2 linked regions of the Nothobranchius furzeri genome follow. The main gene of each other region encodes a partner of the protein of the gene in region 2 in a complex. Links are inferred from orthologs where the notes say so. Each region holds a gene or a part of one and is shown on either strand. Other genes may lie near its edges.

What was found. Proteins that work in one complex are often made in the same cells at the same time.
Region 1: the proteins of keap1b (region 2) and nfe2l2a are in contact, whole or in part, in a crystal structure (PDB 3WN7), measured with the Mus musculus proteins. The link is inferred for Nothobranchius furzeri from reciprocal best matches to the Homo sapiens genes KEAP1 and NFE2L2. Residues at the interface, in NP_001103775.1 of Mus musculus: Tyr334, Ser363, Gly364, Arg380, Asn382, Pro384, Asp385, Gly386, Asn387, Asn414, Arg415, Ser431, Gly433, Cys434, His436, Ile461, Phe478, Gly480, Arg483, Ser508, Gly509, Tyr525, Gln530, Ser555, Ala556, Tyr572, Phe577, Ser602, Gly603; in NP_035032.1 of Mus musculus: Leu19, Ile22, Leu23, Arg25, Gln26, Asp27, Ile28, Asp29, Leu30, Gly31, Val32, Val36, Phe37, Phe39.

What each region holds. Positions count from the first base shown.
Region 1 is NC_091754.1:21,645,527-21,649,280, forward strand, and holds the start of nfe2l2a (nuclear factor erythroid 2-related factor 2a), read right to left. Parts: upstream 2,462-3,754; 5' UTR 2,319-2,461; coding exon 2,280-2,318; intron 246-2,279; exon of another isoform or gene 218-245; intron 117-217; coding exon 1-116.
Region 2 is NC_091747.1:74,209,335-74,212,988, forward strand, and holds part of keap1b (kelch-like ECH-associated protein 1B), read left to right. Parts: intron 1-2,707; coding exon 2,708-3,384; intron 3,385-3,654. UniProt on the Homo sapiens protein: Substrate-specific adapter of a BCR (BTB-CUL3-RBX1) E3 ubiquitin ligase complex that regulates the response to oxidative stress by targeting NFE2L2/NRF2 for ubiquitination.

The sequences.
Region 1 (3,754 bases), on a different chromosome or scaffold from region 2:
AGCTCGCGCTGCCTCTGCAGCTCGTGCTCTTTCTGACGGTGGTTGTAGTCGAACACCTCGCGCCTGGCTCCGAGATCGATGTCCTGCTTCCACAGGATGTCAATCAGGTCCATGTCCTGGAAAGACGGCCACAGATCACCTTAGAGAGTTGCGAGCTGCCGTGCCATCCTGCAGCGATGAGTGCCGGAACAACAACTGTGAAATCAGGCCGTCGTACCTGCCACACCCTGTCCTGTTTCTGCTCGCTGTCAGCAACGTGGTACAAAGCCCAAGTGGAAGAAGAGAATGAATTATAAATGTTGTTCTCTGTTTTCATTGTCGCCACCAAACACCCGACAGCGTCTTGATCTGATAGCCTTACCCATCTCATTACACTGAGGTGTGAGTTCTTTTGTCCCGCTCCAACTCTTCAATAATCAAGTGACCCTATCATTTTATGCGACCCTTTGAGTTTTCTAAACCAGTTTAAAGCCAAACGTTCGTTTGCAACTTGTACACTATGAAGACAGAAATAATTTTACACCATAAATTCAGATCAGAAACCAAACAACTATAAGAATCTTCTGAGTTTCCACTCACCACCATCATGCTTTGTGCTCTTTAAATGAAAAAACCCCAAAGTTGGTTGTTGTTTTACATTCTTCTTGGGTTTTTCTCTGTAGTTTATTTACAGAAGAAATCTGTTTCACAAGACCTCAGGATGTTGCATGAAACCAGACACCGGTCTGAGAAAAACCTTAGAAGCACGTGACATGTTTGTTCCTCAGATCGGTGAATAAAAACTACTTCTGATTGGTGGCTTTATCCTGAACTCTGGGCAAAAAAACCCACAAAAAGCAGAACAATGCAAAAACGAACGGGGTGTAACTATCTGATTAAAACGTATAGCGACAAACCACCATAGCAAACAGATGAGCTCCTATGTATTTTTGGACACTGTTGACACAATCTTTCCTGAATTTGTCTTTTCAAAATAAAAAGCCACTAACACCCCTTGCCTCAGTGTTGCATCAGAGTCATGACCGCCAAAGGATTACACGTTACTGAGCCTGCCTACGATAAATCACGCTCCCCGGCAGAAAGGTGAACATGCAACCAGAAATTATAGCATTTGGCAGAATGAGGAAGTCCTCAAAAAAAGTGTAGGTGGCATCTGAAAACACACCTGTGGTCGATGTTTTTCAAAGCTTAAAAAAAGAAACTGCGTTAGTCAGGCCTTAAATAGAAACTTCAAGTTCAGCACTTAAAATTCTCCTTTTGTGCACCACAGAAGTTTTATTTTAGTTAGATTCTCTTTTAGAGTAACCAGAAAATGCTAAAGTGTGGTGGCTTTTCTTTTGTAAGGTCAATGAGGATTTCACAAGACTCAGGTGGTCACGTGAACGAGGAAGCTTGGATTTCCCCTCGACAACATGCAGCCACACCAGTCAGACCACCATCCTTTCAGGTAAAGTTAAGACTAATGAAACGGGTCACCATAATGAGTATTTCACAACATTAAAGGCTGATCTGAACACGTGTATCATTTAAGATGGTTCTTTATTTAAAGGAAGTGAAAGGGGCCGATCTTTCCTTTGATCATTATTCTTTGGACATTCACCCTTGACCGAGAGTGGTGAAACACAGCAACACATGTTCCAAAACAGCCGCTTTAGGCTCTGATCTGTCATTTTTAAACACCCAAGCTCCCTTTGACAACATTCTTGCCTAAACACAGTAAAATAATTAACTAGTCAATTGAGAAAAGAGTTTTTGTGTTTTATGTAACAAAATCAGATTTAAAACAACAAAAATAGAAGCTACTATATGTTTTTTTTAAATATATAATAAAATGGTGGTTAGAAGATGGCCAGTATCAGATAAGGGATCACATGCCTGGGAGAGGAAGGGGGTGAGGAGGAAGAGGGAAAGGACGCGCATTCTTGTGAGAAAACAATTTTCTCCAGGTTTACCCACTTTTAAAGGCATGACACTTTGTATGGCCAAGGGGGAAAGAGCCAACGCCGGTTAAATCGTGCCACTGATATTTTATGTTATTCCTATTTTGATTTCCCTGCGAAGAAAAACGTTACATGACTTGCAGAACTGAAAGTTTTACATGAGTTACCGGTTTTATTTAAATGTTTTATCACAATAATTCCAAATTAAATAGTACAATCTGCCCCAACTTAGATATTTGATTTTAATTAAAAATACATAAGAAGGCCACCTAAAGTGTTATAACAGAGGACGTTGACAAGGTTTGTTCAAAGAAAGCTAATTAATCAAATATTGTTTACCTGTTGACTGGAATGCATCACCTCCATTTCCATCATCATGGAGATCTGTGCTGACGTAAATAAAACGCCTTATAGGTGAAAACTGGATGTATTATTAATCCACAAATGGCAGGTTAAAATGGCGAGCGGTCCGTAAGGCCAATACTGTCCGTGAGGGCGGCCGCAGCTGACTTTCGGGAAATATTTGCCTCCTCCGGAGCTCGAGAGCGTCACGGAACCGATGGCCCCGCCCACCAAGCTGCGGCTCCGGGATCGTCCCACTCACGGCGGCCTATGAGACAGGAGCATAAGACCCGCTGTGCGCATGCGCGCTATGCCAGCCTGCCTAAACCAGTCTATGGCCTAAACTCATAACTGTTTAACATACTGGTACCCAAGTAGTTATTACACAACTTACTTACACGTGTTTAAATTATCCTCAAATATCCACGTGAGCTTAATTTTATATCTAAAAAAGATATTTTGTGCTTAAATTGGCCTCTCCAAACATTGCAGCTGTTACCTATCAATGTTTTTGTTTCGTTTGGTAAACAGCGAGCCCTGCTGGTGGTTTGGGTGTGGGACTGGACGCCATGGCTTCTCCTGTCTCCTTGAGGTTATTTACTGACAACAGGAAAATTTCTATTAAAAAAAATTGTACATTTATTGAAAATGCCTCTTGGAGACATAAAGGCTGTTTTAAAAAGCACTTATTTATATGTGGTAACTTACTATTTTTGAATAGTACTAGCACATTTAAAGGTATTTGTATGGTATTTTGGCTACTTTCTAACAATTCCTAGATGTCACATTGCATCATACATTTGCATGTCTTCAGTAAAAAGTATGCAACTGATTCACTGCATAACAACAGGTTCTTTTTACAATTATGTCACATATAGTGGTCAAAATAATTAAAAGGTGAATTTTGATTATTTGTTTTCAAGTTTTGGTCATTGTGCTGTTACATCATCACGTAGTGTTTCTGATCTCCTTCAGCTTTTTGTTCCTTTCCTTTATTGTTTAATTGCAAAATATGAAAACTCAAGTGTCGTAAAATAATCTCAAAGAGATGCCTTCAAACAATAACTCAAGACCTGAGAGATACTTCATAGTTCAACCATGTGTGTGTTTTGTCGCTAAATAGGCTACTACTTTACGTGTCAAACTGTTGGGTTAGTTTTTATTCATCTAAATAAGTGGGGAAAGTTGCTTTTATGCCTATTAATAGCAATTAACTTGGTAATCTAAAAAATAGTTTCTTTCAAATTTGTCAAAGACAAAATAGTGTTGTTTTTCTATTGAGCTTGAGACTTTCATGTCTAAATATTTCATAAGTTTGCACTTGACAGAGAAAAAAACTGCCAAAGTTCAATGAAAAACTTTGATAGACCATCAGAATAAATGACAAAGAGCTTTTTGAAAAGTATAAGAAAGTCTGATTTCTTGGAAGAAAGATGAAAATGAGGAATGACTCAAGACTTTTGCACAGTACT
Region 2 (3,654 bases):
ACAACTAATCGATTTAATCGATTATAATCGATTATTAAAATAGTTAACAACTTTTTTAGTCATCGATTAGTTGTTTAATAATCATATTTTACCGCATAAAGTCTATTTTTTACCACAATCTGACATCGGTTACAATCTGTTAAATTTGCCGCCAGTGTGTGGCAGTAATGAGCCACTGATCTACCAGTGGAGCCGTAGAAGAAGAAATGAGCCAATAAGTGCCCCCAGTTTTCATGACGTATCACGTTACTGACGCTCATCTTGCTGTGAGAGATGGCGGATCAACAAGAAATACGGAAGAAAAATAGAAGCGACAAAACAAGAGAAACCCCGGACAAAAACCTCACGAGAATGGGAGCACTTCACTAGATGCCTTGAAAAGACCGGTGACCTGCAAAATATGCAAAAACCATGGCACGACGGAAGCACGACGTCCCTAAGTGAACATTTGAGACGAAAACGTGGGGGCTGATGCAGCAGAGGAATGTCCGGTAAGTCACAGAAAATAAACAAGCTAACGCAGATCAAATTTGAGACTTAGTGATTTAGCTGAGTTCGTTATAGTGGATGTTAAACATGTTTTTTTTTTTTTTTTGCCGCGTCAGTTTACGGTGTTCTACTTCTGATTGACTAGATTCAATCGTGAATCTCCTCTGTGTTGTGAATCATGCGCTTGCCAAATTTAGCACGTCTGTTTATAAGACTGTTCTCGTTAAGAGAAAAACGGCACAAACCCATAACTGTGTTCCTCATTCAAAAAAGGACAACTCCGCGGAGAAAAATATACAGACGAGCTGTGTCCAGGTGAATATAACGCGGCATAGTTGTACGCTTTCAATTTTTAAATACAGGAGAAATTCAGAAAGTCCTTTTTTTAACTATTAAAAGGCTGTTTTACCGTCTAACACTGTAAAACGCCTCACAACACATTTTTGTCAAAATAAATTATCACTGTATATTGTTAATTAATTCAAATAATGTAATATTGATTTAGTGTTGTAGTGTGTGTGCTGTTTTATTTTATATGTGTACTTAATTCAGTTTATTTGTGTTTCTTATGCAGAAAAAAACAAGCAACGATGGACAACTACATGGGGAACAAGACACTCACCCCAGCAATGCATACCACTTACAAACTCTATTCTAGATTCTACATTATTTTTTTATGGAATTTACCTCTTATATTTTGATACCAAAAAATTATTCTGGACTGATATTTTGCACTGTTTAGCTCATTTTACACCACTGACTGTGTTCATGTGCAATAAAATAGATTGCAGTCAACTGCACAATTCTCTTATGTTTTTCTTTTTCTTAACTGAAATGTATTCATCACTTGTATAGGTTAAATAGCTAAACAATAACAAACTGATTAATCGATTAATCGAAAAAATAATCGACAGATTAATCGATTATGAAAATAATCGTTAGTTGCAGCCCTAGCTGCAGGACCACCTGAGGCAGAGCCACAGCTGTATTGTAGGTGGCTCAGTGACCATTCGTCACCTCAGAAGTACAGGTGATACCTCGTTTATCGTGGTAGATGCGTTCCAGACCTGAAAATCCGCGAAGTAGGGACACCATATTTACAGTACAGTACTATATTGAATGATCTATCGTATGATCACATTCTCTTTTTGTGGGTAAAACTCAAGAAAAATTTTTTTTACTTGGTTTTTTATAGTTTTATTACAAAAAGTGCATTTTATGATGAAATTGATGAAAAAAAAAACCAGGAATTTCTTGATATTTCGCATAGAAAAATACCGCAAATCGGTGAAAAATACAGCGAATTGGCGAATTTCCCTTGAATAAGGCTCCAAAGAAAAAATCCGCGAAGTCGTGAATCCGCGATAAACGAACCGCGAAGTAGCGAGGGATCACTGTATTTTTCATTGAAACAGCTTTTTTGTTAATGTTCTAAATAACCACTACTGGAACACTGGGATGACCCAACTCCTCAGCAGATTTAAGTCTTCTAGCTTTAAGGTGACTTAAGTGAAAATTGTACCTAATTTTTTAAATCACGTTCAAAACTCACGATTATTTATTCTGAAATAGGACGTTTCTGCCAGGCTTGACCCCTGGTGACACCAGAAGTTCCTGTTGCTGACACTCGTGCTCGTCAATAACCACAGAATCACATATGAGTACATGATGTAAACGTTAACTCATTCACTGCCAGCCGTTTCCTGATCAGAAAGCCCCGGACTGCCAGTGTTTTTGAGCGTTTTTACTGTTTTTTTTGAAGAGTCACAGACCATTGTGCTCTATGCTCATGTAAATACCAAAACTTCCTAAAGAAAGAGTGCTTACATCAGGAAGAATCCGTGTGTTTGTAGCGTTATCCGTTCATTCATAATCTGTTGTTGAATTGTGAGCAGCAGAAGCTTTTCCAGTTGGCGCCTCGCTTTTTTCACACCAGCGGCCCAAAACGATCTCCTGATTAACGGATTTTCTGTTTCCTGATCATGTGACATGTGATATAGACGGATGAAGATCAGCTTTAGAAACGGGATGTGTATTCTCACGTTGCAGAGGCTCATTCCCACGCTCGCCCAATAAAAAAATGCAATTGGCGACTTTAGTCGACTTCAGGTTGAGACCTCTCAGCTCCGTTTACAGCAGCTCAGGTGAAACGGTTAGAGGAAATCCACAGACAGTCATTATAGTTGTGGGACAAATGTCTCCATGTCTCTCCTTCCAGGTAGCAACCCAGGAGGAGTTCTTCAACCTGTCCCACTGCCAGTTGGTCAACCTCATCAGCCGCGATGAGCTCAATGTGCGGTGTGAGTCCGAAGTCTTCCAGGCATGTGTGGCCTGGGTGCGCTATGACCGGGAGAACCGGAGACCGTATGTCCAAGCCTTACTCCAGGCTGTCCGCTGCCACTCCCTCACCCCTAACTTCCTGCAGACCCAGCTCCAGTCCTTGGACTGGGACCCTCAGTGTAAAGACTACCTATCCCAAATCTTCCAGGACCTCACGCTCCACAAACCCACCAAAGCAATTCCTTGCAGGACGCCCATGGTGCCGCAGCTGATCTACACAGCGGGGGGTTACTTTCGTCAGTCTCTCAGCTACCTGGAGGCCTACAACCCCTGTACTGGAGCCTGGCTGAGGCTGGCAGACCTGCAGGTACCTCGCAGCGGCCTGGCAGCTTGTGTGATCAGTGGGCTTTTCTATGCTGTCGGGGGCAGGAACAACGCGCCAGACGGGAACATGGACTCCAGTGCTTTGGACTGCTACAATCCTATGAACAACTGCTGGCGTCCGTGTGCACCGATGAGCGTTCCCAGGAACCGGATCGGAGTCGGCGTTATCGACGGCATGGTTTACGCTGTTGGTGGTTCTCATGGGTGCATTCATCACAACAGTGTGGAAAGGTGAGCGATACGGCTACACCTCACAAACCACAGCTTACCTGGTTGTAGTTCCCAACAGCAGGCACACCTGAGCCACAGGTAGGATGTGATGTTAGGATTTAGTTGTCATTAGGCTCTGTGGTTTGCCTCGGTACAGACTTAGTTCTGGTCTGTTTCCTGGGTTAGGTCACCGTGTAATGGTAAGGTAAGGGATCAGATCATGATCTCATCTTCTTCAGGTTTGTTTTTCACAAGCTGCTACAAAAAATAATGAACAAAAGCTCAGGAACG